Tamandua tetradactyla: one gene and its partner. The protein of the gene in region 1 binds, or shares a complex with, the protein of each later gene. Links are inferred from orthologs where the notes say so. Each region holds a gene or a part of one and is shown in the gene's direction. Other genes may lie near its edges.

What was found.
Region 2: the proteins of CENPA (region 1) and HJURP are in contact, whole or in part, in a crystal structure (PDB 3R45), measured with the Homo sapiens proteins. The link is inferred for Tamandua tetradactyla from reciprocal best matches to the Homo sapiens genes CENPA and HJURP. Residues at the interface, in NP_001800.1 of Homo sapiens: Lys64, Leu65, Ser68, Arg69, Arg72, Asp83, Phe84, Asn85, Trp86, Gln87, Ala88, Gln89, Leu91, Leu92, Ala93, Glu96, Ala97, Ala100, Phe101, His104, Glu107, Asp108, Leu111, Leu112, Leu114, His115, Ile132, Glu136; in NP_060880.3 of Homo sapiens: Glu14, Asp15, Leu18, Lys21, Leu22, Ser25, Arg26, Arg28, Phe29, Arg32, Met33, Leu36, Lys39, Tyr40, Pro43, Phe44, Thr47, Pro48, Val49, Val50, Gln51, Met52, Ala53, Thr54, Leu55, Ile65, Trp66, Gly67.

The regions. Positions count from the first base shown.
Region 1 is NC_135329.1:10,541,451-10,556,485, forward strand, and holds the start of CENPA (histone H3-like centromeric protein A), read left to right. Parts: upstream 1-6,362; coding exon 6,363-6,456; intron 6,457-13,429; coding exon 13,430-13,539; intron 13,540-13,899; coding exon 13,900-13,977; intron 13,978-14,639; coding exon 14,640-14,774; 3' UTR 14,775-14,796; exon of another isoform or gene 14,797-15,035. UniProt on the Homo sapiens protein: Histone H3-like nucleosomal protein that is specifically found in centromeric nucleosomes. Replaces conventional H3 in the nucleosome core of centromeric chromatin that serves as an assembly site for the inner kinetochore.
Region 2 is NC_135329.1:210,907,845-210,922,879, reverse strand, and holds the start of HJURP (Holliday junction recognition protein), read left to right. Parts: upstream 1-5,691; 5' UTR 5,692-5,814; coding exon 5,815-5,910; exon of another isoform or gene 5,911-6,059; intron 6,060-6,107; coding exon 6,108-6,174; intron 6,175-8,767; coding exon 8,768-8,823; intron 8,824-12,202; coding exon 12,203-12,260; intron 12,261-14,512; coding exon 14,513-14,577; intron 14,578-15,035. Other genes in the region: TRPM8 (transient receptor potential cation channel subfamily M member 8), read right to left, coding at 5,530-5,581. UniProt on the Homo sapiens protein: Centromeric protein that plays a central role in the incorporation and maintenance of histone H3-like variant CENPA at centromeres.

The DNA.
Region 1 (15,035 bases):
GCTGGAGCGTCTGACAGTTCTGTTTAGTCAAGTACACAAGCAGGACCATTATGAGGCCGGCCGGCTCTGTAATGGTCACACACACATTCTCCTGGGAAGGTAGCTAGGTGCTAAGCTGGATGCCAGCCACTGCCCCCAAGAAGAAGATCATATTTACTAGAATCTGATAAATAATAAATTGGCTGGAATTTTAAGTTCTACTTCATATCTGGGCCAGGGGTTGCCACATGGTATCTCTAATAGTCACGGAAGTGAGAAGCTAGAATTGATCCATTTGATCCTAAGTTGCCTCTCATTTCTTCCTCTGTATATCATGCCCTATTGTGCAGAGACTACTGTGAATTTTAATTTTTAGGAATAATTAATTTCACATATTGAAATTATAATTATCATCAATTGGCCTTAAATACATCCACAAACAGACTCCCACTCATGCTTTCATTGCTCTGAGTCCTTAATTACAGAGCCACTACGATTTAGATGGGGACTCCAGTGCTACATTTGAACCCAGAGCCAAGAAAACTGCCAGTTTGTCCACATGCCCACTGAACACATTGATGGAGGGCCTTCTATGTGCCAAGCCCTGTCGTGAGCACTAGGGAGACCAAGATTTACCAGACACAACACAAACCCTCCTCTCAAGACCTGGGATGTAAACCCAGAAATGGAACTCAAAGTGGTAAACCTCACTGTCCCATCACATACAAAAAAGAACACAAAATTTGCATCTGATCCTTCTAAGCAGTCTCCTTGGCAAGCATCTGTGTCTCTAACTTCATAAAATTGTACTCTTTATAAGGCCCTGGTTTCCCAAATATTGAGCACCAATATGAAAACTGGGAAAATAAAATACAAAATATCAGTGATAGTAAAACTAATTGATTCAAAATCCACTGGTGCATAAGCATGTATGAATACATTCATATTTATTTCTAATATAAATATTGTCCTAAAAGAAAATGTGTGTGTTCTAGTTTGCTAGCTGCCAGAATGCAGCATACCAGAAATGGCTTTTATAAGGGGAATTTAATAAGTTGTTAGTTTACAGTTCTAAGGCCAAGAAAATGTCCCAATTAAAATAAGTCTATAGAAATGTCCAATCTAAGGCATCCAGGGAAAGATACCTTGGTTCAAGAAGGCCAGTGAAGTTTAGGGTTTCTCTCTCAAGTGGAAGGGCATATGGCAAACAGAGTTTCTCTCTCATCTGGAAAGGGGCATGGTGAACACGGTCAGGGTTCCTCTCTTGGCTGGAAGGGCACATAGTGAGCAAGGCATTGTCTGCTAGCTTTCTCTCCTGGCTTCCTGTTTCATGAAGCTCCCCAGGAGGTGTTTTCCTTCTTCATCTCCAAAGGTCGCTGGCTTGTGGGCTCTTGTGGCTATGTCATTCTCCGGCTTCTCTTCTCGTCATTCTTCTCTGGCTCTCTCTGAATCGCTTTCATTCTCCAAAATGTTTCCTCTTTTATAGGACTCCAGAAACTTATCAAGACCCACCCAAAGGGGTGGAGATATGTCGTCACTTAATCCAGTTTAACAACCACTCTTGACTAAATCACATCATCCAGGGAGATGATCTGATTACAGTTTCAAACATACAGTATTGAATAGGGAATGGGATTTTGATTAAAACATGGCTTTTCTAGGGGACATTCAAACCAGCACAGTGTGTATTCTATTTATAGATAACTATGCATATATTTATCCTTGGATAGAGCAAGGCCCTTTCAACTTAATGGGAGAAGTGGCACTAAAGTACCTTTTAGTCGATGAAATCTTGGATTTCTAACAAAATCTCTTGAGAAAACTTGTTCACTGATTGGTACAAAATCCTAAACTAACCATATTTCTCTTTCTTTCTCTCTTTTTTTCTCCTTGTGTTTTCCCTCCCCTTGGATGTCTGGACCCAGGAAAACAGGCAGGTTGTGGTAAGAATCCCTGCCAAAGACTAATACTTGCACACAAAGACAAAGTAAGAAAATAATCTAATCCAGAATGGGGACTGGCCTCATAATGAGATGATCCGCAATTCACTTCATCTTTCATCTACTCTAATAGTTGATGAGCATTTAACAGGGATGAGACACAGGGTGGATGCTGGGAAAGCTGAAGAGACAAGAACTAGCCTTGCCCTTCCAGAGCTTTCTAACACCCAGCATGAGTCCTGGAATAGTGTGAGTTTTCAAGGGATATGTCAGATCTGAACGTGATTCCATTTATAATCCTAGCTGCAGCTTTCCTGTTGGCTGACTCCCCCCAAGGATCTTCAAAGCGGAAGTAATCTGGGTCAACTCTACAACCTTTTCCCTCATGTAAATGAAATCATGTCGCTCCCGTGTCCAAAGTCACCTTGTGGTTTTTCAGTGCACTTAGAATAAAACTCAGCGTCCTAACCCTATTCGAAACTTCCACTCTCCCCTCTCTGGATTCCTTTCAGTTTCCCGGAATATGCCAAGCTCTCTCCTTCCTCAGAATCTTTGCACTCGGTTCCCTCTGCCTGGAACAGCTTCCCGCTCTCCTAGCTCTTCTTTTTGGTACTTCCTGCTTCAGTTTAAATCTGGCCTTCATAGAGGCTTGTCCTGACCAACTCTCTAGAGTAGGCTGCCACCTCCCACCCCAAGTGACCCTATTAAATCACCATGTTTATTTCCATACTAGCACTTACCACAGTCTGTAATAGGATCATTATTAATTCATTGTTTATTGTGGTCTTTCTCCTTCCCACCAGAACGTAGGACTATGGGGGCTTATGTCCCATTTGCTGAATTAGCTCCAACCCTTATAGCAGTAGCTAGCACATAAAAGATGCTCAACAGGTGTCTGTTAAATGAATAATGAAAAACTGAATTCAGTGTGCAGATAAAAGTTATCCCTTCTATTTCAGTGCTGTCCAAGAGAAATATAATGTGAACCACTTCTGTGATTGTAAATTTTCTATGAGCCACATTACAAAAGTAAAGAGATACAGATAAAACTAATTTTAATAACATATTTTATTTAACCCAATATTTCCAACAGCTTTTTATTTAACCATTTAAGCAATATAAAAAATGGTATTTTATATATTTTTTGCAGTGTCTTCCAAACTCAGTGTGTATTCACACTTTACAAGACATCTCAATTCAGACTAACCACATTTTGAGTGCTCAATATCCATCTGTGTCCTGTGACTACCATACTGGACAGTTCAGCTCTAGATAGAACTTTTTACATGGCCAGTGAAAATCCACTTCCCTTAGCCAAAAGACTTCAACCAGCTGTGTGTGATGGCTCTTATGATTTATGAGTACATTACCAGTCCCTAGTCCTTCTCTACAGTGATCTGTCTTCCTATTGGGAGAGGTAGGAGGGGGGAATGGGTTCAGAGCTAGGTTAGGCTAATGAGAAATATTTTACCCCACACAGTCAGTGGACAGCTTGTACCCGAATCAGAAAGGTCAGAATTAAATTTCTGACTTTTCTATATTTTCCCCTGTAAAAAAGAAATAAAACGAAATAAAGTTATTATGGCTAAGAGATTTAAAATGGAGTTGGGAGTTCATTCTGGAAGTTATTCTTATGTACCTCTCTACCAGGTATCACAAATTGGCAAGGTATGCACAGCCTCAGGTAATACTGTTCCTCAAAACCCCAAGGACATCCAGACACCAGAAAGAAACCATAAGATAAAGAACTCAGTAAACTATCTAACCTGAGGGACATCTGGAGCATCCCAAATATCCACAAACACAAACAATTTATGTAATCTCCTTTTTCTTTAAAATCCTTGCCTGGAAGCACCAAGAGGAAACATAATTCGAGTTGCTACCTGAATCTGGGCTCCCTGAATTGGAATTCTAAGACCCTGTTCTAGTTTGCTAGCTGCTGGAAGGCAATAAAACAGAAATGGAATAGCTTTTAAAAGGGGGAATTTAATAAGTTGCAAGTTAACAGTTTTTAGGCTGTGGAAATGTCCAATTAAAGCAAGTCTCTAGAAATGTCCAATCTAAGGCATCCAGGGAAAGATTCCTTGATTCAAGAATGCTGATGAAGTTCAGGGTTTCTCTCTCAGCTGGAAGGGCACGTGGCGAACACCGCGTCATCTGCTAGCTTTCTCTCCTGGCTTCCTTTCAAGAAGCTCCCCGGGAGGCGTTTTCTTTCTTCATTTCCAAAGGCGGGTGGCTGGTGGACTCTCTGCTTCTTGTGGCTATGTCGTTCTCTCTGCTCTCTCCAAACCTCCTGCTTTCTCCAAAATGTTTCCTCTTTTAGAGGATTCCAGTAAAGTAATCAAGACTCACCTAGAATGGGTGGAGACATGTCTCCACCTAATCCAGCTTAAGAACCACTCTTGATTGAGTCACATCTCCAGGGAGATGACCTATGGCTGCCTTTACAAAATGGGATGAGGATTAAAACATGGCTTTTCTAGGGTACATATATCCTTTCAAAACCAACACAGACCCCAAATACACCCTTTTGTTATCTTGCAGCTTAGTTTGCTATTTCTTGGTTGACATCCCTAATGTCCTTTCCCACTCCTTCTGTTAGAGAATTGTGAAGTCATGGAATTAAGGAATATTACAGTTTAACAACCTCACTTAAAAAAAAAAATACAGGGCAGGCCACGGTGGCTCAGCAGGCAAGAATGCTTGCCTGCCATGCCAGAGGACCCGGGTTCAATTCCCGGTGCCTGCCCGCGTATAAAAAATATATATATACATATATATATATATATGCATATAGCCTGTAGCTCAACAAAGTGCTGTCACCTTTGTAAAATCACACAAGCTCTAGCTTCACTCTCCATTCTATGTCATCTTCTGAGGAGGAGGTCAATAATTCCCCATCACCAACATCCACTCACACATGACAACCTCTGTTCTCCAAATCACTTGTCGTATTTCACCTCTTCTCAGGCTGTGACCTCTGCTTGACACCACATTTCTCTTTCCCTCATCACCACCTTTTCACATCTCACCCATTCCCTATGATTCCACTCCACATTCTTGAGGAAGACTCCAAATACCCTCAACCCAACTCCCTCCACCAAGGAGTTTCCAAGGAGAGTCTTATCCATCATAGTTGTCTTAACAATAGTGTTACCAAACGACTGCCCTTCCTTCTTCCTTCCATCATGATTCAAACCTGTACCAGAGGTTGGCAGCAGGACCTCAGCCCTTTGGCTGAGTGCTTTTATTATTTTTCTCATGCAATTTATCTTTTCGATGACTCATATTACCTCCATTTGCTAGATGAGCAAACTGAGGCATGGGAAAGGTCACTTATTTGTCCTCACACCTATGGGCAAAGCTGACTGGAGCATCCAATCTGGCTTGACTTCCTTGACTTCAGAAGACCATGCCCATGGTTCGGTGGTCGAATGCTCGCCTTCCATGGGAGACCCAGGTTCTATTCAGGGACCATAATCCCCCATCCCCCACTCCCCGCACCCCCAAAAAGATCATGCCTAGGACCTTTCTCACAGATCTGCAAAAGGGCTAAATTGAAATTACTGATTTCTTAACTAACCCTTCTGAAATGTTACACGTTCACTATAGAACATTCAGAAAATCCAAGAACACAAAGTGTAGAAACTTAAAATCCCCTTTAACTACCCAGACATATGAACTAAATTCGTATTATCCCCACCAGGCCAGGATGGGATCACTTCCTTGGGACTATCCTACTGCAACGTGGAAAGTGAGATCCAAGCCCTGGGGCGAGGCCTGCCCTGCCTGGCCTTCACAGCACAGGCGCCCGATAACCTGGCGGTCCCCGCGGCCCCAAGGATCAGTCAAGTTCACACATACTTGTGGGATGTACCGGGAGGGTCACAGGCGCGACATGGGGCTGTTACGTTCTCTTAATAGGTCTGTTTCATCTTTAAATGCCACCTCGCGAGAGTGATAGGGCAAAACATAAATGTTTGATTTATATACAGAGAAACACTGCTACGAACGTATCACCTACATCTTGAGAATCGCGCTTCCGGTTTTACAAGCGTGCATCGCAGCACAGCCACCAACGAGCTGAGGGTAGCACAACCCCCGCCTCTTCTCACTTCTTCGAGTGCCCACTGGCGGGTTGCACCGTCGGCCCGCCCCGTCCGCCTAGGCTCTCATTGGTCCTCTCCGCAGTCGCTCTGCGCCGTGGGCATTCCCGAGGTAGCCAATAGGAGCCGCCGGCTGTGAGTTTTAAACGACGCGCGCGGTGCTGGCTGTTGGAACGCGACCACTGCGCTACCTTTCCTTCACTGCGGGTTCTTCCAGGGCGCGCGGCCGGGCTGCTCTCCGGGCCTCCCCCAGAAACTCTCCCTTCGCCCCAGAAGTCCGAGAGCGAGCGGGGGCCCGGACGCCTGGCGCGGGGGCGGGCGCCGGGGCCCCTCCGCCATGGGCCCGCGCCGCCGGAGCCGCAAGCCGGAAACCCCCCGGAGGCGCCGGGAGAGTGCGACCCCCGGCACCCCGCGGCGGGCCACCCCCTCAGGTAACCGGGACGGGACGCGTCTCTCTGGGTCGAGCGGAGACCGACCGGACCCTCCCCACGCGGACCCAGCGTCCTTCCCCGGCTCCCGGCATCCTTTGGGGCTCAGCCAGGAGCCAAGCCCGCGAGGGCCTTGGGAAGCGCCGGGGACTGGCCTGGGAAACTAGGTCCCTGACCACAGTTCCTCTTGTTCCTACTTTTTATTGAGTGCCTGCCACTAACGAGGCCTGGAGTTAAGCTCTTTATAGTGTCCCCGTTTTACAGAGTAAATAAACTGAGGCTCACCCAGGCCAGGAAGCTCGAACACGGCTAGTTCGGCAGACTGAGGATTTTTAAAAATGTGTTCGTCTGTATGAATTTGCTTATTCTGGGTATCTTACGTAAGCGAAATCTGGTTTATTTCACTCAACGTGACATTTTCATGGTTCCTCCATGTTGTGACATGTATCAGAACTTCATTCCTTTTTTTGTGTGTAATTGTTTAAAATATTTTTTAACTTTTTTTAATTGTGAAATATATATACAAAAAAGCAACAGATTTTAAAGTTTGATATGGGTTACAGTTCCACGATTTTTCGTTTTTCCTTCCAGCTGCTCAAAAACACTGGTGACCAACAGAAATATCAGCATAATGATTCAGCACTCATACTCATTTGTTAAATCCTATGTTCTCTGTTATACTCCTTTTCTTTGACGTATATACATAAAAGCAACAAATTTCAGAATACATCGCAACAATTAGTTGTAGGACAGATTTCAGAGTTTGGTATGGATTACAGTTCCACAATTTTAGGGTTTTACTTCTAGCTGCTCTAAAGTACTGGAGGCTAAAAGAAATGTTAATATAATGATTCAGCTATCATAGTATTTATTTAACACTACCTTCTCTGCTTCATTCCTTTTTATAGCTGAATAATATCCCATTTTATGTATACACCTCATTTTGTTTATCTGATGAACACAAGGGTTGCTTCCATCTTTTGGTTATTGGGAGCAGTACTGCTATGAACATTGTCATACACATATCTATTCAAATCCCTGTTTTCAGTTATTTGGGGTATATTCAAGTAAGAATTGCCTGGTCATTTGGTGATTTGCTGTTTAACTTTCTAAAGAACCGCCAAACTGTTTTCCACAGCAGCCGCCCCGCTATATACTCACCAGTGTGCAAGGGTTCCTGTTTCTCAGCATCCTGACATCCTCAACCAATGCTTGCATTTGCTATTGAAAAAAAAAAAATAGTATCCATCCTAGCAAGTGTGAAGTAGTATGTCATTGTGGTTTTAATTTGCATTTCACTAATGGCTAATGGTGATTAACATCTTTTTAGGTGCTTAGCTTTCATTTGCATGTCTTTGGAGAAATGTCCATTCAAGTTCTTTGCCCATTTTTTTTTTTTTAGAAATCTTAACACACATACAATCCATCCAAAGTATACAATCAGTGGCACACAGTATCATCACATAGTTGTGTATTCATCGTCAAGACCATTTTTTAGAACATTTGCATCACTCTAGAAAAAGAAATAAAAAGAAAACACTCACACATCCCATACCCCTTACTCCTCCCTCTCATTGACCACTAGTATTTCAATCTACCCACTTTTTTACCTTTTATACCTGGCCCCATTATTTATTTATTTTTTGTCCTTAGTTTTTTACTTATCTGTTCATACCCTGGATATCAGGAGCATCAGACACAGGGTTTTTACAATCACACAGGCATACTTTAAAAGCTATATAGTTCCACAATCATCTTAAGAATCAGGGCTACTGGAATACAGTTCAACAGTTTCAGGTACTTCCCTCCAGCCCCTCCAATACACCATAAATTACAAAGGGATATCTATATAATGCGTAAGTATAATCTCCAGGATAACCTCTTTACTCTGAAATCTCTCAGCCACTGAAACTTTATTTTGTCTCATTTTTCTCTTCCCCCTTTGCTCAAGAATGCTTTCTCAATCCCATGATGCCAGGTCCATCTCATCCCCAGAGTCCCGTCCCATATTGCCAGGGAGACATACCCCCTGGGAGTCATGTCCCACATAGGGGAGGTGGCACTTTGCCCATTTTTTAAATTAAGTTGTTTTTCTTTATGTTGTTGAGTTGTAGGAGTTCTCTGTGTATCCTGGATATTAAACTTTTCTTAGTTAAATGATTTCCAATTTTTTCCTCTTTCTGTAGCTTGTCTTCACTTTCTTGTTAATGTCCTTTGCACAAAAGTTTTTCATCTAAGTTATCTGTTTTTTCTTGTTTGTCATGCTTTTAGAGTCCTATGGAAGTATTCATTTCTTAATACAAGGTCCTGAAGACTTTTCCCTATATTTTCTTCTGGGAGTTTTGTGTATTTATCTCTTACATTTAGGTTGGTCTGTTTTGTTCTAATTTTAAAATATGGTGTGAGGTAGGGGTCTACTTTCATTCTTTTGCACGTGAATAAACAGTTTACCCAGCACCATTTGTTTTGTTTGCATGGGCAGGCACTGGGAATCGAACCTGGGTCTCTGGCATGGCAGCCCAGCACCATTTGTTGAAGACCTTCTTCTTTCCCAATTGAATGGACTTGGCACCTTTGTTGAAAATCAGTAGGCCATAGATTGTGGTTTTATTTCCACACTTTCGATTCTATTCCATTAGGTCATATATCTGTCTTTACGCCAGTACCGCACTATTTTGATCACTATAGCTTTGCAATACATTTTGAAATCAGGACGTGTGAGTCTTCCAACTTTGTTCTTCTTTTTTCAAGGTGGTTGTGGCTTTTTGGTACCCCTTATCCTTCCTTAGGAATTTAAAGATTGATGTTTCCATTTCTGCAAAAAAAAAAAAAAAAAAAAAAAGGCTTCTGGAATTTCTGGGATTGCATTGAATCTGTAAACATTTTTGATGATATTGACTTCTTAGTGAAATTAAGCCTTCCGATCCTTGAACCTGGGATGTCTTTCCATTTATTTAGGTCTTTAATTTCTTTGAGCATTGTTTTTTAGTTCCCGCTGTATGAATCTTTTACATCCTTAGTTACATTTATTCCTAAATATTTTATTCTTTTAGATGATATTGTAACTGGGATTGTTTTTTATATATCCTTTTGGATTGTTCATTGCACCTCACACTCTTAGCTCATGATGACCTTGTTTCATGTTCCATTGGGAAAATAGAAGACTTCAGACTGAATTCTCCTCATCTTCTCATAACAGAATCTACATGTCCCCTTTCATTTCAAAAGCTACTCCTTGGCTTTTGTCATTTCCTCCTTTCACCTTCTCAAGGGCCTTCTGTTAATCCGCTCCACCTACACTCAGAATTAAATTCAAACTCCTTATACTGTCAATCTACAAATGTGCTCTGATGTTTCTGATATTAAGCAAAGGACGGGAGTGCTTCCTTGATCCCACATATTCCTCATTTCTCTCTACTTTGCTTCATAGCTACCCTTTTTTTAATAGCTCATTAAAACTCATTGAGTCTATCCCCATTGTTTCTTTCTTCACTTCCTGGTCACCCTTCAACCATTCTGACTCCCCCCCCCCCCCAAACACTGCTTCTACACTTCTACTCCACTTAAACGGTTCTTGTCAAGGTCACCAACAACTCCCTTGTTGACAAATCCATAGACACGTTGCTATGTCTCAAGCATTTAACACGATGGGCTACTTTCTGCTTAAAACATTCTGTTCCCTTGGCTTCATATGGATTTCATATCTTCTCTTACCCTCTGATGTTTCATTTACTCTCAAAGTCTATCACTTTACTCTATTTAACACATTCTTCTGGTTTGCTTATTTTCTTTCTTGAGTTTACTTCCTTTCTTTCATGGTGTGAGCTTTCTTTAATTGTTTGGTTTTTAGTTGTGTTCATCTTTACATTTTCTGCAACTGTTCTTTTTACTAAAGGCGACCTCTAGTGATGGGGGGGGTGTGGGAGGAGGGGAGAAGTGGAGCAAGTGAGTGAGTAGTGTATCTCCTAGGTATGGGTTTTTTCCTTTCTCCTAAATGTCACCAGGCATATCCTGGACACTGCCCTGTGTCTTTGGCTTATATTTCCTCTTCCCACCCAGGGATAAAGTCTCCACTGGCAGCTGCTGGGCACAAATCCTCCCAGGATTGCCTCACCTCCCCCCATTTGCTCCTTCTATTATTAATTAAGTCCCTTCTATTGAACTGCTCAGCATGGGTTCTCTTTTCTTTGCTGGACTTCAAATAACATTTCTGAAGTTCATTTTATCCTCCGCAGTGTTAGTTTCTGTATGTTTTTTTCTTTTTTTTTATTCTTTAACTTAAAGGTTTGTCCATTTTATGGGTCCTTGGTTTTATTTATTGAGCAACTATAGGATTTTGTTTTACCCTTTTTCATTAATATATTATCTTTAATATTTCTTTGCTCTACCATTTGTTTTAGTATTCTCTTTGTAACACTTGAATGCTTACCTCATATATCTTTTAATATTTATGTTTTATAATAGACTTTTTTAAGTGCAATTTTATTGAGATATATTCACATACCATTCAAACCATCCAAAGTATACAATTGCTGGCTCACAGTATCATCACATAGTTGTGCATACATCCCCATGATCAAATTCAAAACTTTTTCATTGCTCCAGAAAAATAAAAATAAAAAAACCCAAATCCTCCCAAACCCCTTCCCCCCTGCCCATATTATTGACCCATAAAATATTGGTATGGTACATTTATTACTGTTGATGAAAGAATATTAAAGTATTACTGTTAACTATAGTCCATAGTTTGTAATGCTTTTCCCATATACCCCTCTATTATTAACTCCTTGTAGTAGTGTTGTACATTTGTTCTAGTTGATGAAAGAACTTTTTTATATTTGTACAGTTAATCACAGACATTGTCCACCACAAGATACACTGTGTTATACATTTCCATGTTTTAACTTCCAACTTTCCTTCTGGTGACATACATAACTCTAAACTTCCCCTTTCCATCACATTCACACACCATTCAGTACTGTTGATTATTCTCACAATAATGTGCTACTGTCACCTCTATCCTTTCCGAACATTTGAAGTTCAACTTAGTTAAACATTCTACACATATCAAGCAACTGTTCCCCATTCTTTTTTTTTTTACTTTTTTTTTTACATGGGCAGGCACCGGGAATCGGACCCGGGTCCTCAGGCATGGCAGGCAAGCATTCTTACCTGCTGAGCCACCGTGGCCCACCCTGCTCCCCATTCTTTAGCTTTATTCTATATCCTGGTAACCTATATTTTAGGTTAGATTCTATATTTTAAATATATGAGTTTACATATTATAATTATTCTATATCCTGGTAACCTATATTTTAGGTTAGATTCTATATTTTAAATATACGAGTTTACATATTATAATTAGTTCATATCAGTGAGATCATAAAATATGATCTCAAAATATGATCATAAAATATTTGTCCTTTTGTGTCGGACTTATTTCACTTACTATAATATCCTCAAGGTTCATCCATGTTGTTACATGCTTCAGGACTTCATTCCTTCTTACTGCTGAATAATATCCATCACATGTATTTACCACATTTTGTTTATCCATTCATCTGTTGATGGACACTTGGATTGTTTCCATCTTTTGGCAATTGTGAATAATGCTGCTCTGAACATCGGTGTGCAAATGTCTGTTTGTGCCCCTGCTTTCAGATCTTCTGGGTATATCTCAAATAGCAGATTGCTGGGTCATAAGGCAACTCTTTTGCTTCCTGACGAACTGCCAAACTATCGTCCATAGTGGCTGTACCATTTTACATTCCCATCAGCAGTGAATGAGTGTTCTTGTTTCTCCATATCCTCTCAACACTTGTACTTTCCTGTTTGTTTAATGGTAGCCATTCTAGTATGTGTGAGATGATATCTCATTGTGGTTTTCATTTGTATTTCTCTAATAGCTAGTGAAGCTGAGCATCTTTTCACATGCTTTTTAGCCATCTGTATTTCTTTGGGAAACGTGTCTATTCATATCTTTTGTCTGTTTTTTTAATTGGGTTGTTTGTCTTTTTATTGTTGAGTTGTGGGATTTCTTTATATATTCTGGATATCAAACCCTTACAGACATGTGGCTTCCAAATATTTTCTCCCGTTGAATCAGCTGCCTTTTCACTCTTTTGACAATGTACTTTGTAGCACTGAAATATTCAATTTTGAGGAGTTTCCATTTATCTTCTAATAGACATTTTAAGGCTATACTTTTCCTTGTAGTACTACTTCTTAGCTGTGCTTTTTAAGATGAAGCCTTTTTATTGTTCATTTCTAAATTATCTTAATTTCAGATGGGATTCCTCTTTAACCCAAGAGAAATTCAGGAGAATTTTGGTTTTTCTATTCTTGGGTTTGTGATTTTTAGTTTCAGTATAGTTTGAGCAGAGAATTTGGCTTTTATGATTACTACTTTTGGGAGTGTTTTTAAGACTTTTTCCTTTTGGTTGGAACTGGGATTGGAGCCATCTAGCCCACATGGCTCTCACTGAGCTATCATCTTTGTGAGGTCCCAACTTAGCCACCAGAGTCCTGGCCAACTATCTTCACCTCTGTAGGCCATGAATAACCAAGTCAAGGGGATTACATTACAGCTCTTAAAAAAAAAGAAAAGACAAAATAAAATAAGTGTTTTTCTAATGTAAGTGGGTAAGATATAAGCAATGCACAAGGTACTTTTGGGGCCCAGAGCCTTGAGGGAGGGAGGTGACCCATCACTTTGGAAGAGATCAGGATTCAGGGAAGACTTTCTGGAAGAATTGATACATGAGTTAAACCTCAAAGGACATTTGTTCATTCATTCATCTATCTGCGATTGCCTAGGTGCTGAAGATAATGGAAGTGAATAAAACAGACAAAAATCCCTGCTGTTGTGGAATGTATTACTGTCTAGTGTTGAAATTGCCCTCTCAGCTGTGTTGTGAGGCACCACTTGTTTTCCACTGCACTTTACCTTTATGATACAACGTTTTCCTTTGCTCAGGCACTTCCTCCCGTCCGCGTGGTGTGCGGAGACATCGGATTCTGAAGGAGATCCAGAAGCTTCAGAAGAGCACAGAACTGTTGATAAGGAAGCGGCCCTTCAGCCTTCTGGTGAGGAGCGTCCCACCAACCCCCATGCTGCCGTCCTTTATGTTTCCCAGGCTTTGGGGAACCAGCCTTCTCTTCTTACATGGCTCTGGGACCCCTTCTTTAGCTTGAGGGGACTCTGTCTTTGAAAGATAGCTTCTCCAAGGGCCTTTGAGACAGGGTTCTTTCATTATATACATAGGATTCCTCTAATCCATTCACCCTTTGATCCTTTTCCCTACCCAGGGAGATTACCTCTCATTTTCCTCCCCACCACCAATGAGAGATATGGTAGCTGCTAAGGTCCTAAGAGTCATCACCTGCTACTGAGTTAGGACCTAAGATTAAGGGCCAGGAATAATGGAAATTCCCACTCCTTCATAGGTAAGAGAAATATGTACTATATTCTCTCGCGGTGTGGACTTGAACTGGCAAGGCCAGGCTCTGTTGGCCCTACAAGAGGTAAGAAGTGGTCACGGTACAGGTGGGTGAGGGTGCGTATGGGAGGAAAAAGAGTTCTTCAGTTCCACTTGCCTACCAGCGCTTAGCACTTGTGGAGTGTCACATACTGAATCTTGCCTCCTTGGAAACAGCAATAAAGTAACACCTCAGGGTTGGGGGGCTACATTGACAGGTCTCTAAGAGAAGAAGCAGCCTGTATTAATTAGGGTTCTCTAGAGAAACAGAATCAACAGGAAATATTCGTAAATATAAAATTTATAATAGTGTCTCACGTAACCTGGGACCGAAGAGTCCAAAATCTGTAGGGCAGGCTGTGAAGCTGACAGTTCGATGGAGGATCTGAATGAACACAGGAGAGGCTCGCTGGCCAAAGCAGAAAGAGAGCTTGTCTCTTCTGAATCCTCCTTAAAAGGCTTCCAGTGATTAGATTAAGCATCACTCATTGCAGAAGGCACTCCCCTTTGGCTGATTACAAATGGAGTCACCTGTGGATGTAGCTGATGTGGTCATGATTTAATTCTATAAAATAGCAAAAGACAGGGAGCGCTTGCCTGACCAGACAAACAGGTACCACCACCTGGCCAAGTGACACATGAACCTAACCATGACACAGCCCATGCCCCCTTGTTTGTCAGTGTTTTTGTTTCTCTTTCTGCCCTCAGGCAGCAGAAACTTTTCTAGTTCATCTCTTTGAGGACGCCTATCTCCTCTCTTTACATGCTGGCCGTGTCACCCTTTTCCCGAAGGATGTGCAACTGGCCAGAAGGATCCGAGGAATTGAAGCTGGACTTGGCTGAGCTCCTGCAGCCAGTGTCTCTTGTAAGCCTTTCCTGCTCACCCAGAGAGCAAGTGTTTGTTTTGGAGGAAAAATACCTAGCTTCTCATCACTGGAGATAGAGTTTCTCAGAAGGAATTTTCCTTCTCCATCCTTAGTCCCTGGTTGTTTTGCCTTCCCTCTGTTCTTTAGCAAAGGTTGGACCTATTTTTAAATTTATGCGTGGGTCATGATGGCTAAGGCCTTTTGTCCAATGTTAAATAAAGATATTTTTCTGCTAAGT
Region 2 (15,035 bases), about 200 Mb from region 1:
TATGTGCAGAATGCTTATGAGGGGGTACCCTTTGGATTAACCCCTGTGGAAGGGACGGGACAGAAACAGGACTGGACAGATGCAGGCCAAGCAACTGCATGGGCCAATTCCACAGAGAGCTCTGGAGCTACAATGACCCTTCAGGGTAATCCCCATCATATCTAAATGTCCCAGTTTTATGTTCCCACCTTGACTGCTCATTAGATGTAGGCCAATGGAATGAACGTCTGTGTAGCTGAAGCCATCTCTGAAGAGGCTGCAGCTGAAGGTGTCTGCTGACAGTGTCTCCAGCAGCTGAGGAATCTTATGGGGTTATCTGGGGCAGTCCATCTCTTCGTCCCTCTCAATACATTTTGTAGACACTGATTTTCCTCTCACCCCACGTTTTCCCAAGATTTCTGTATGATAGAGTTGAGGTGCAGGCTAAGAGGGGGTGAAGAGCTCCAACTATGTCACTTCTGGTTCTCAAAGTTATGCTTTTATTTTTTTAACCACATAACCATGATAAGCACACAAATAAGGCTGATGGAAGTCTGACTTGCTAAACTCAGAACAGATGTTAAAAGACAGAGGCATAGCAAGGACAAGGGGCACCTTGCATCAGTTGTGCCCTTTATCTTTATGTGCTCTCTACAGCTCTCTACTCCAGTCTGGTACTTGAGTACTAGTAGCCCTCTGCCCCCTTTGCTGTGCTCTGAAGAAAGGAGACCACTTCTGTCAATCTGTTTGCTTTTTTCCAAGTGGTAAATATTACTAATAACTGGTTGAATGCTACCTAGTTCTTCTCCACTTCTGGAGACATAGAGGATTATGCTTCCCTGACCTCTTGAAGTTTAGCACATCCAATTACCTTGTTCTGGTCAATGCAATGGGAGCAGGAGCGATAGATGCCTTGTCCCTATGGAAGCCTCTGAGTGTCAGAGGATGACTCTACATGCTCTTTCTTTGCTACACTGACTGTGGAAGCTTGGGATGATATGGAGGGGCCAGAAGATCACAGAAGCCAAGAGAGGAGAAAAGACACCCTGAAGAGTCATCTGGACTTCCAGTGGATTTTACATGAACAAGAAATAAACCCTCATTCTTTTAAGCCAAAATTTTTTGAATGTTTGTTATTGCAGCATGACCTAGATAATTCTGACTAAAACATCCCCAGATATTTGTGTCCCCCACACCATCCCAATCCCCCCCATGTTAGAAAATAATTACTAAGGGCTCTTTGACTCTTGTAAGCCTAGCTACAGAGGACTGCGTCATTTCCACGAAGGCACTTAATTCAGATAGAGGTTAGAATGACAGAAACAAGTGTTTCTGACCTACACAGGACTTGTCAGTGCCTTCTCACTATCCCCAAAGTTAGTCTCATTGCTTTCTAATTGTCTGAGACTCTAATGGGGGATTATGATGATCTTGAGAAACCTCACCCTTGAAGCTGTCCATGAGTTTCCCACAAGATTCTTCCAGGAGGCTCCCACAGGGAGATCAAACCTATCTGGAGCTCCCATATCCTGGCACCACTACATAAGCTAATATAACTAAGAAAACTGTGTCATATATCTTCTCCCATGCCAAGAAGGTAAACTGGTAATTCCCCTTTGCTGAGGATATTATTTAATCTTTGAACAGACGTAGTCTTAAGCAGTCACTTGTATTGCTCAGCTGTTATCAGAAAAGGTTCAGCTTTAAGCAACCATGGGTTTACACAAACATGGAGTAAGATGAATGTTAGTAAGGTATTAACTGTGAAAGGGATACAGCAGACCGTCCAAAAATTAAAATAAACAACCCCACAAATCTTCTACCTTCTCCCTAGGAGAGGATGCAAAGACCTCAGTTTCAGTTTCCAGTTCTAGTTATTTCCTCTACATTATTATACAACAACCTACTTTTATTTTTTAATGACCAATTTAAAAAACCAAACTTGTAACTTAGCTCCCCCCATGAAGAAATCAGAAACACCTTCTTTACTCTTCTACCAACAGTTTAACTGTTGTTTATTGCCAATCGATTTTTTAAAACTTTGTAGCATTTCTTTCAAGAATTGCAGCAACGTTATTCTGCTCAACAAGGTAATAACAGTTATTAACACTCAATTCTATGTTTAACTACATTCAATTTTACCTGATAATCTTTTTGTACCACCATTTTTGAGCTCTTAATTTTGATCCAATTTTATGGATTATGTCTACAAGTAAATTTTTCAAGAAAGGTTTCTAAGTGCTTTAATTCCTGAGTCTTTATATATTTAGGAATTTTTTCCTATTGCTTTTACTCGAGTGATGTTCTGTATGGATAAAAATTCCTGTATCACATCCTATTTCTCTCACATCTCCATTAATATCCATCCACTGACATCCTTGGGTTCTTGACAAAAAAACTAGCTGACTTTTTTCATATAGGCGCTGTGCTTTCTCTACCTGGATCCTTATGGTTAAAAAAAGAAAAATGTAATCCTTAAGGTTGATCTGCTTCATCAAGCTATATCTTGGTCTTGATTTGTTCTCTACTGATTTTCCTGGTACGGTAAACCTTTTAGATGCCCAGATTAAAGTCTTCTTCTATTTCAGACAAATTCTCTTCTATAATTTTTTAAATATCTATTTTTCTTTTTTTTTTTCAGCAACTGTGCTAGTTTGAAACTATGTACCCCAGAAAAATCATGGCCTTCTAATCCAATCTTGTGGGGGCAGAACTATTGTTGGGTGGGACCCTTTGACTAGGTTATTTCCGTAGAGATGTGATCCCACCCATTCAAGGTGGGTCTCAATCCACTTACTGGAGTTCTTTAAGAGAGAGACATTGTGGAGAAAGCTGAGACAGAACGTTCTAGGTGATGCTAAGCAAGAACCCACAGAACCTGAAGGACCCAGAACCTGGAGAGAGCTGAGAGAATCTAAGAGATGAAATCTAAAGATTGCTCCAGACAAGCTAAGAGAGGACCCCCATGGACACTTAGAAAAACGACCTGGAGACGCTAAGAAAAGACCCGCAGGACGCAGAAAGCCACTGGAATCAAAAGCTGAAAGCAACGAACTAGGAGCAAGGACCAGCAGGTTCCAGTCACATGCCTTCCCAGCTGACAGAGGTGTTTCAGAGGCCAGCGGCCTTTCTTCAGAGTTCAGGTATCATCTTGTTGATGCCTTAAATTCAGACACTTCATGACCTTAGAAGTAGAAATCTGTAATGTAATAAAGCCTCTTTGTAAAAGCCAATCCATTTCTGGTATATTGCATTCCAGTAGCTTTAGCAAACCGGAACACTTAGCTTCCAAATACATCCTCTTTTTTCTCTTTTCACTTTTTAACTTTGCTCTTTTCCATTGTGATTCTCTTGTGATTTTCTCAACCCTCTCATTAACACTCCTGTATCTGTTTTTCAGCTGTAATAATCTTCTGTACCTGATGTGCCTTTCATTTCTATTCTTCCAACCCCTTTCTTTCCTCAGGTCTTGCAATTCACTCACACCATTCTGTTATCACATTAGCTCTGCTTTGAGCTCTGGCATTCTGTTTCTTCTAAAAATACCTCGTTTCCTAGAATTATTAGGCTTCCAAAGCATATTCCTCATCAGCCTCCCCTCCTCTACTTCTCTTCTTATCCTTCTTTTGTAGTGAATTTGTGTTTTATGCTGTTTACTGTCTCATCTTGATCAGAGGAAGAGAAGTACAGTTCTATTCAAGCCGATTCTCACTCCTGCTATTGGGCTCCTCAGTCCAGTAGTACAGATAACCTAATAGTCCCAGGAGCTCATTTGTAGCCAACAAACAAGCTCCCACAACCTTAGTGACTGAGGTTCCCCTTCTCCCAGCCCCCAATGGAGCAGCCAGAGGGCAGGGCAAGAGCCCAGAAGCAGAGGGTCAGCAGACAAGAGGTCCTCAATGCATGGGCAACTTGAAAGAGGACAGTCTCTGGGCCAGGTACCTGGGATCAATTACCAGGTGAACATCCACACAGGAGGATTTAAGGATTTAAGTTATAAGGCTGGGGTCATCTTCACTGCCTTATTATAGTGAAAATGGGTACATTCTGAATGGCCATTAAAAAGGATCAGTTAAGTAAACCATGGTACCACCAAACAGTGAAATAACATAGATGATTTAGACCTATATGTATTGTCATTTGAAATACACTAATGGTATATAAGTAAAAGACAATTTACATAAGAACACAGACACTTGCATTTATATATATCTATACATCTACATATATGTCTATTGACATACATGTACATATTCTATATGTCAAAATGTGTTTATATAAGCATAGTAAAATGTTGAACCAATCTTAACAAAGTGATGTCTCAGGCATGAGACTAGAGGGGGGATTATGGATTTTTACTTCCTGTTTTTAATTTCTTTACATTGGACATGTATTATCAGAAAAGAACCACCAGGACATTTCCATTTTAAAAAGAAAGAATGAAAAAGATGATTCTGGCAGCAGAGGACACACTAGAGAAGGGAGATCAGAGGCAGGGCAGAGCCGATTTATCATGGAGCTAGTGAAAGTGGTTCCTTCCTGCACAGCCCCTACAGAGACTGGGGACACACAATCCTTAACTACCATAAAATTTGCAAAAGGGTATTTTAGCCACAGTTGGGACCAGTTTCTCTCCCCTTGCCCTCCCTTATTCCTCTTTGTCACACCTCCCTCCCACTAGGTGGAGTAGCTGACAGCAGTTTTGCCAGCCAGAAAAGAATACAGAGGTGGGAATATACTGGGTTTTGTAGGATATGTTTACATTTTAAAAAGTCATTTTGCATGTGGTTACTATAGTTCTTGGCTACTAAGACTGTGCAGAAAAGGCTTCCAGGAAGAGCGTGCCTTCTACTAGGGCAGCTCTTCAAAGTCAACAACTCAAATACTGTTTGAGATAAAACACTGCAGAAGTTAATCTGAAATTCTACAAAAATCTTATACCACACATATGAAAGAAAATTGAGTCTTTCCCATCCTTGAGAACAGGCCTAAAAATCTACCCGACATTTCCAATGAGCTATTACGCTGAATAAAACTTTCCTAAAATGTCAGTGATAAAAAATAAATTTCCAGTAACCATACTGGAGGAAACACTGAATTATCTATTGTCTAGAGATTTTGTTACCTGAGCAATCTCGCATGAAGAAGCAGTAGTAAATGCAGTTTAAAAATAAAAATAAAATAAATGGGTGTTCAGGAAATTCTTAATGAAGATACTCTTTTCCGGACTCTATCGTGTCCGTGGCATTTGGCATTTGTAAACGTGCAATGTGTTGGGGTTTCTTTTCTGACTCTAAGTGACTATTCACTTCCTGCCTCCTTTCAAATTCGTAACTTAGTCTATCTAGCTTTTCTTAGACCCCTCCCACCTCCAGCCGCGCCAGGCCCGAGGCGGGGGCAGGAGGAAGCCCGCCCAGGGCGGGGGTCTGGGGTGACGGAGGACGAGGGGCCACGGTCAAACCAGCCGCCTGACATGTCCAAGCTGCAATTTTCTCACATGTCCAACGTTTGAAAGGACCGGATTTCACAGGATTCTCGCGCGGAACTAACCGTTAAACGGCCCGGAAGCGACCGGAAGAGCGACCCGGGATTCTCCCGTCATCCAACGCGCGCCTCGGGGACGGCGGGACCCGGAGACCCGAGCGCAGATTGGCTGGGAAACAGGGACGTAAACAGGTTTGAAAGAACCAATCAGCTCCCCGCAACACAACGCCAGCCAATAGAAAGCCCGAAGGGCGGCCGGTGGGGGTGCGTAGCGGCTTCTTTGAGCTGAGGGCTGAGAGGGGGGCGCTCGGTCGGGTAGGCGTTGGAATCGAGGTGATACCGGCGGGCGCCATGGAGGACGAGGCTCAAGAGGAGGCCATGCTCGTGGGGAAGCTCCGGGACAGCCGCCGCCGCTTCCAGAGGCGCATGCAGCAGCTGCTAGAGAAGGTGCGGCGGGCCGCGGGGAGGGGTGGGTCCCGCGAGGTGGGAGCTGGGCGAGAGTCGGCGCTGAGTGTCGCGGTTGTCGGAGGGGGTCGGGAATGGGGACCCCAGACTTCCGGCTTTGAGCTGACTCCTCCTCGGCCGGAGTCAGGGACTCCTCGCGACCACCGGATCTTGACGCGACGCCCTTTCCTCCCCCGTAGTACAACCGGCCCTTCGAGGACGCCCCGCTGGTGCAGATGGCCACGCTGACCTACGAGACGCCCCAGGGTACGAGGTCCCCCCTTTGAGTGGTGCTTTCATACAGTCTGAAATGCCCTCCGTGCCCTCTTAGGAAAACAAACTCGTAAATGAGGTATTTCCAACAGTTTCTGAAGACGAGTAGATGCATCTTGGTTCAGAATGACCCTGCCTGGGCTGGCATCCTAGGCATGCCAGCTCGGCCCCGTTGCTTGGTCTGCCTCTGTCTCATTGTCTTTGTCTGTAAGATGGGGAGAATGATGACAGTAATTTCAACCCGGTGTGGTGGTGTAAGTGTGATTTACAGTGTTTGTGACTCTCTTAGAACAGTACCTGGTAATAGTAAATTGTCAGTCGAATGTTATTTGCCCTGTTTGACTTGGAGTGTTACCTAGAGTCCTTGAGGGTCTACTTGAGAATTAATCTGAATGTAGAGAAAGCCTTTCCATTAAATGGTTAGTGTTGCAAACTAGCCTAAACCAGTCGGATCACCTGCTAGTCATGGATTCTTCTCGGTAAATAGCTGGAGAAAGTTCACGGTGGCTGAGCTAAGTTCCTCCCATACCGCCTTACATCAGAATCGCTACTAATTATAATGAAAGCAGATCTAGATCAAATTCTGCCTGGCTTAAACAAGCAAGCAAAAACCAGTTCATTGCTCCTGTTTGTTAAATAAGGTCTTAGCTCTGTGTCATTTAGGCTGATCCCATAATACATGAACCTAACAAGAGGTGGAGACAGGTTTTTTCCCCTCTCCTGTCTGCATCAGGCCATGGGAAATCCAACCCAGAGGCGGGACACAGTAGCATAGGAATCGGTTGTGCAGTGCCGCTCCTAAGAGTGCAGACAACAGGCTGGGCTATGTTCTGGCCAGGAGGCCAGTGTCTAGAATGGTTTGGCCTCTCCACAGTTTTTTTGTTGGTTTGTTTGTTTTTTTATTGTGAAATATAACATATATACAAAAAAAGCAGTAAATTTCAAAGCACACTACAACGATTACTTATAGAACAGTTTTCAGAGTTTGTATGGGTTACAGTTCCACAATTTTAGGTTTCTTTTTCTGCCTGCTCTAAGACACTGAAGACTAAAAGAAGTATCAATATAATGTTTCAGTAGTCATATTTATTTGTTAAATCTTCTCTTCCCTATTATAACTCCTCCTTCTCCTTTGATTTTTCTCCCGATCTTTAGGGGCATTTGGGCTATGCCCATTCTAGCTTTTTCGTGTTGGAAAGAGCCGTTGATAATGTGGGATAGGGCGATGGAACTAGTTGATATTCTTGGAGAGGCTGACCCCTTTGGGTTTCAGGACTTAACGTGGCTTAGGAATCCAACCCATCTGTACTCCGCAGGTCTTGAGGACCACTGATTTCACCAGTGAAAGCTCATTTCAGACTCCAGTTTGAACAGTTGAAGCACCTGAACACCTTGAGAGCGGTGCTTCTCCCACTTCAGCATGGAAAGTCAGATTGCTTGCTAAAACAGATTCCTGGGCCTCACTGCTGATCCAGTGGAGAACCCAAGAGACTTCACAAGCTCCTGGGGTCCCCTGACCTCATGCGGAGAGGCATTCAGTCAGGGAAGGGGCCTTTCTCCTGACCACCTTGTAGTGTGAATTCCTGGTTAAGACAACACCATAGGGTCTAGATTGAACCCCATCAATTACATTGAGGATAGCAGGGAGATAATCATCGTTCCTGTGTAGTGACAATTTACCATTTTGCTTGACACCCCTAAGAGTTTCCTATTTTGTATTGTCAACAACTCTACGAGGTAGTCTTAGAATCATCACCACTTAACAGGGAAAGATACAGCAGAAAGAGAAAGGTTAAATAACTTGTCCCGTATCACTTAGCCAAAGTGGCAAAGCCTCAATTTGAGTCAGAGCCCGTGTGCTCAGGCATTACTGTTCTGGAAAGGCCAGATGCCAGAGCAGCGGTCAGGAGCACAGAGTCTTACTGCCCATATTCATCTCTTGATTCTACCACATAGCAGGTGACTTTGGGCCAGGTATGCTTTTCCCTGCCTCTGGGTCTCCATCTATAGCATGAGCATGATAAGTCCCTATCATACAGGGCCTTAGAGGTATTGAATTGTATCTGTCACCAGCTTGACATGAATACTGAACAGGATCTGCCTGGAAAGTGCTAGAACAGGTCCTGCCACCTAGAAAGCACCATACAACCACAGCTGTGGTATTATCACTGACAGCCACCTCAAGCCGCTCAGTGCCATGATCCTTTCTTAGTTTGCCTTTGCCTAGTAGAAAATGTAGTTTTAAGGCAAGATGAAGTCCTTCACCCCTTTCTACCTACTATAAAGATTGTCCTCGATATATATGTATTTGAGGGCAGTACCTGGCTTGTGTATGTTCCTTGATTCCATTTAATTTGATGGCTCGATGATGTAATTTGATGAGTTGCTGTCTATGAGGTAGGAGAAGTTTTCTGTAATGACAAATGTTTGCCTAATCTTGATTTTTAAAAAAAGCCTTAACATCAAAGGTTTAATGGACTATATCAGAAGTCTGGCCTTTGCTTGGCCTGGGTTTCTTTGAATGCAGGTTTAGTAGAAACTCTGTCTTCAGATGACTAAAATGGTAATTTCTATTTCTTTTCTTAAGGATTGAGAATTTGGGGTGGAGGACTCATAAAGGAAATGAGCACAGCACAAATCCAGGTATTTAATGTCAAATTTTATTGCCAAAATGCCCTGCTGTGAAGGAGCAGGATGTGTCTGGGGATGGGTGGGCTGAGTCTCCTGCTGTGCAAAGACCAGCAGTTCACTGCCACCTCCAGTCGGCTTCATGGTATTCTCACCTTAAAGCTCTCCTGTTGGGTTCGCTTTCCAATCCATGTAACACCCCCCCACCCCCCCCCAAAAAAAGCCCTGTTTCAGGGATTTGCTGAGAAGCTTTTCTTCTGTTGCCTGTGAAATGGTTATAAAGCCTGTTCTAGTTTGCAAACTGCTGGAATGCAATATACCAGAAACAGAAGCTTTCAAGAAGGGAAATTTATTAATTTGCGAGTTTACAGTTCTAAGCTGTGAAAATGTCCAAATTAAGGCAGCAACATGAGGTTACCTTCACTCAGGAAAGGCCAATGAAGTTCAGAGTTTCTCTCTCAACTGGAAAGGCACATGGTGAACATGGTGATGTCTGCTAGCTTTCTCTCCAAGTTTCTTGTTTCTTGAAGCTCCCCCCGGGGGGTGTTTTCCTTCATCTCCAAAGGTGGGCCTTGTGGTTCTCTTGGCTCTCCTCTCTCATGGCTCAGTGGGTCTTGTGGTTCTCTAGCTTTTTCTAAGAAATGCTTCCTCTTTTAAAGGATTCCAGGAAACTAATCAAGACCAACCTGGAGTTGGTAGAGTCACAGCTCCCTCTAATCAAAGGTTAATACCCCTAATTGGGCAAGCCGCATCTCTGTGGAGATAATCTAATCAAGTTCCAACCTACTGTGCTGAACGGGGATTAAAAGAAACAGCTGATTCCACATAATGGATCAGGATACAAACAAGGCTTTTCTAGGGTACATAATCCTTTCAAACCGGTAGAGCCCTTTTGGTAACTTCTGTTTCCTCTGTCCTAGGTAGAAGGGCTCCCTCACAGCTGAATTGATTGGGTTATACTTGGAAAGGCTGGGAGTTCCCACTGGATAACCATCTCACCATTCCACTTTTCAGGTTTTACTTTGTTGGGTCTTCACAGAAAAGACCAAATCCAGTTCCTTCTAGGGAAGAAAAATTCCTTTCAGAGGTACTGAAAGGGAAAAAAAGACAGATTACAGGGAAAAGGTTCAGTGTATAGGATCATACTTTTTTTCTTTCTACATCTCTCCACCTTTCAGAAGACCTCTTTGTTTTCTTACCCTAATTCATCCAAGCACATTGCAGATGTGATCTCCTATTTTAATGAAATGTGCTGATGTAGTGTATAGTCCTGCTGTGAGACTGGGGAGTCTTTGAGGGGATAGTAACTTTGCCAGGATGTGTGGTGCTCTCTGAATCACTGCTTCTCAAGCACCACATACTCACCCTTCCACAGGTCAGGGACCTAGACCCAAGAATACAAACATCAAGACTAAGGTTACAGAGCAATTTATGACATATCCGAAACCAAATTTTCTTCTTAATTGTTTTAAAAGCACACATAATACAGTCAGTCATAGAAATTTTAGAAATACAGTAATTATAGTTAGCCTGACTTCTATCACACAGATGTAATCACTAGTGATATTTTAGTGTGATATGATTCTGTTTCTAATGTACATATTTATACATACATACATTTTGTTACCAATTTTCTACTTAATATATCGTGCACCCTTCATCTGCTGTATAATTCAACCACCATTTTCCTTAACTGCTTTCCTGTTAGGCATGTAAGTATTTGCCACCTTCCGTTATTATAAATCAAGGGTTGGCAAACTTTTTATGTAAAGGGCCAGATAGTAAATATTTTAGCTCTATAATCTCTGTCACAACTACTCAAACTCTACCCTTGCAGGGAAAGCAGCCACAGATAATGAGTAAGTGAATGGGTATGGCTGCATTCAATAAAACTTTATTTACAAAGCCCTTGTCATAAATAGTCTTCATAGAAACACCCTGGTCCTTGTCACTTCCCAGTAGCAATATCACCCCTTTCCAGTTAATATCAGGAAATGGGATTATTATGTCAAAGGTTTTGTTCTCTTTAAATATGACACATAATACGATGCCTACGAACCAAGCCATATTTGGATGGTCCTGATGGAAAAATGTTTTTATCTTGAGATTTGTTTAAGAGTTTTATTAAGTGTTGGTAGACCCCTGCCTGAGGTCTAAAAATTTTCAAGACCCTTTCTTGATATTAGAAATCTGGGCATAGACTTGAATTACAATTTGGATATCTACAGCCTCACTGAAATTACCATTGCTGACCACCCATATCTGCCTTAACCTTTTCCTAAATAAATCCCAATACTGCCCCTGTTGCTTGCTGCCTTTGAGGCTGTAAGAGGCAAAAAGAATGTGGCAGGCTGGGAATACCCTAAGCCAATTTGGTCGAACAGTTCTTGGGTTCTCTGTGTATGACACAGAGGATTGGCTGCTTCGTTGTAATTGTAAAGCCCAATTCTGCCACACATTCAGGCCCTGACAGCCAGAAGGTGTTGACGCCCTGTTCTGTAAACTCATGAAACCCCACCTGTCTGTTGTCATAGGTGATCCAGCCCTACTTTATGTGAGTTAAACTCGAGGTGAAGGTGGCATTGTTCCAGAGACAGAAGTCAGCTTCCAGCTAGTGCTCTTGGGGTGGCCAGAAATCACCCGGGCCAGACCCAAGCAAGGGATCCTGATGGATGAAGCCTCAGTCTATCTCTGGAGCAGGCCACAACATGTTCTCACTCTCCTATTTAATTGCAAGGATAGAATAATTTCTAAAATCTCGAAGCCAATCTGAGAACCCATTGGTGATGTTCATTAAGATGACCTGTGAGGCTTCTGGTTTAGCAGAAGCATGGCCTCCACAAGGGTGTGGCCAGATGGCCACCCTGCCCTGTGAGCTGCTCAGCAAGACAACCCATCCCCAAGGGGCAGCTGGGGTCCAACACCTCCCACGGGAAGAGAATAGTAGGTTTCATGACACCATAATGAATGTTGCACTGTACTAAGATCAGTGTCTCAGGAGGACAGGGAGCCTTGCATTATTTCTGATGATCTAGTGACAATTTTCTTCCATTTCATTTTGGCTTTTTGTTTGCCACAGTTCTTGCCAAACCACACACTTTGCAGCATTAGGCTTGCCTTGAGTGCAGAGGTTCTGACATCTGAGCCTTTGCTTCTCACTTGCCCTGCTCGCTCACTCATTAAGAAAGCTGTCTTTTGTCCAAGTGAAGCTCAACTACCTGATAGAATTTTTGTTGAGGCCTCTTAGAATAGAACATATGAGAAGAGAAGCCTTGTGAAACGTCTGTTCTCATATGTTAATGAAACAATTGTAGGCATATTACTTTATAGTGGCTTTGTAAAGTTTTCAGTGTTCTTACTGAAAACAAGCATGTCTTCATTTCTGCATTTTGAGGAATTCGTTGTGGAGCCAGTTGACAGGATGCATGGCCCAGTGCAAGCCACAGGCAAAGGTCAGTGTGCATCCCTCACACAGTGTATGGATCCTGGGAGGGAGGGACGGAGGGAGAGAGAGTGTGAGTACACGCATGCATGCATGCAGTTGTGTGTGAAGCTTGCTATAAAATGAGGTCACAGGGGGCATCACTTTACTTTTACTTTACTTACCTGTGTGTAAGACTTGCACACAGGTCTCTGTTACAGCATCATAGCATTATTATCACTCTTTATTTTTTTTCTGAAGTATACTTTAAAAACTTTCTCTATCCCTGGAGGATAGAGAACCATGTCCTGCTCACAGTTGCATCTATGGTGCTTCATGTGTAAACGATACTCAGATATTTCTTGAATAAAAACCCCCATCCCTTTTAATTTTGGTAACAAAAAAAAAGTATCAAGTAATTAATAAATTTAAGTGCCCTTCATGAGTGGTGTCATGAATGCCAACTTTTACAGAAAGCCTGTAGCTGCTGCCATTCTCCCGTTTTTTCCCCTTGTTCTCCTGGAGGGCACCTTTCCCTTCCCTCAAGCCAGTTTGGTTGCAGACCCCTTCAAATCCATTGTTCTCAGGAATCCAGCCATCCCCCCCTCTCCTATCTTCACCCTTTCCCTCTACCCTGGCCACACACCATCAGCGTCTAAACATTTCCAGTCTGTTCCTGAATGTATAAAACATGATTTAAGAACTCCTTTCCCAGAGCCCTTTGTAGCTGTGTGCCTTTATTCACCCCCCTCCCTGCAACCAAATTTCCTAAAAATCACTCAGTATTTACTGTCTCCAGTTTTCTTCCTTGTGTGCTCCTCAGCTAGTTAGATCTTGCCTTAGCCCTGTCTCCCATGTGCAGCCTTTGGTGAAGTCCCTGGGACCAAGTTACTGAACCCAGCTGGCTTTCTTGTGTTATTCCTTTGTTGCCCACTTGCCCACTCACTAGCTTTTGAAACTCTTGAAACTCTTCACCTCGGGCCCAGTTTGCTCTTGGAGTTCTCCTTCCTCTCCATTCCTCTGGTAAAACTCTTCCCTCAACCCAGGCCTCTGTGTGTTCACTGCTCCGCAGGCTTTGCTGGATGCACCTAATATATCTAAACAAGACCTGCTCTTGATTTTGTTTCCTCCTGCAGTAGAGGGCCTGTCTGCATTGTAAGCCAGAAATCCACAGTTCTCGTGGTCTCGGCACCTCCTCCATTCCTCCTCCAAAAGACGTCACGGTCTGTCATTTTGGCCTTGTAAATACTCTGAAGTGTAACCTGACCTACATGGCCACCCTCCTGTCTCCATCTGGGTTTCCCCAACCCCATTTCACCCACCACTCCCAGAGCACCCTTAAATATGTGCGTCTGATCACACAGTGTGATTTCCCGTTGCTCTTAGGATAGAAGGCCGGAGCCCAAAACATGGCCAGCAAGCCCGGGTGGCTACCTGCTGTCTCTGCACTGCTCCAGGAAACCTCTCCTGACCTGATCTGAATTGACCTTCACTGTTATCCAGTTCTCTGGGTTCTCATTGTAGCAGTTAAATAGTCGTTTTGTAGTTTGTCTTTAAACACCAGTCTGCTGCTTGACACTAGACTTTCTTTGGCTTCTGTCTGCTTCTTCAGAGTCCCTTCTCTGGCATCTTACCCATAATATTTGTCAAGTCAGTAAAGGGAAAACTGACAATCTTTCAAAGTAGAATTACAAAGAAAACCTTAGTGAAGATGTTTACTCACAGATGTTTGTTCACTGGTATTTATCTAGATTTTAACTCCATAAACGATTAGTTCCCAGAATTTCCCAGAATGCTTGAAATAATTGGAAATACTTACTCTAGAGCTACACATGAAGCTGCTAAATTAATTGAAAATTAAATGTGAACTTCAGTTCCTGAGTCACATTAGCCATATTTCTCATGTTCAGAAGCCACATTTGGCTGTTGGCTACCATATTGAACAACAGATAGAGAACTTTCCATTGTCACAGAAAGTTCTGTTGGGCAATGCTAGGCTAGTGTGTCTCAATTTCAAGGATGAGAGATCATTGAAAGAGCTATAGGTGACATAAAATCTGTTTTTATTTACATCTCCTAACATATTCCTGCTCTTAAATGTTCTCTGGCCTACTAATACTCCCTAACAGTGATGAATGGTTTGTGCCCTTATTAAAGGGTAGCGTGTTGGAAGCAAGGGGGATTTGTATTGTCAGCATACTCAGTTGATCTAAAAGGTATTCATGAAAGACAAATACAAGTATTCTTCAAAATTCCAATTGGAATTTCCTTTTTTGCTTCTAGATCTGCAAAGCAGTGAGGTCGATGCAACTTTAGACCTGGAAGATCCAGGGGCTGGGGCTGTAAGGGTAAGAACTGCCTTCTTACTGGCTGGCTAGAGGCAGGGCTTGGGGATTCAAAGGCCCATCCTCAACTCACTCACAGCTTGCACCCTCCTCGTAGTGCTCTTGAGACTCACTTTTAGCTCTACCACCCTTCAAATCTTTGTCCCCATACCCCTTTTACAGACCCATATGGTGCTGAGACACTCCATAGCCCTTGGCTGCTGTCATTACCCCAATTCAAGCCTGATTTAATGAACTTACATAAATTTTGAAGTATTTTCATTCTGGCAATTAAAAGGATCAGAGTTGTGAGCCACAGTAGGCTGTTTACCTAGATTGAGCATGCAATATTAAAAGTTGGATTCTAAGTCTTTTCCCCATGGAAACAATGTCCTTAGGAGGGGTTCTGTTTCTGGTCAGCCTTCAAAGCCCGTTTGTTTAGTCAATAGGTTACATAATTCATTGGTAGTTGATGACTTAAA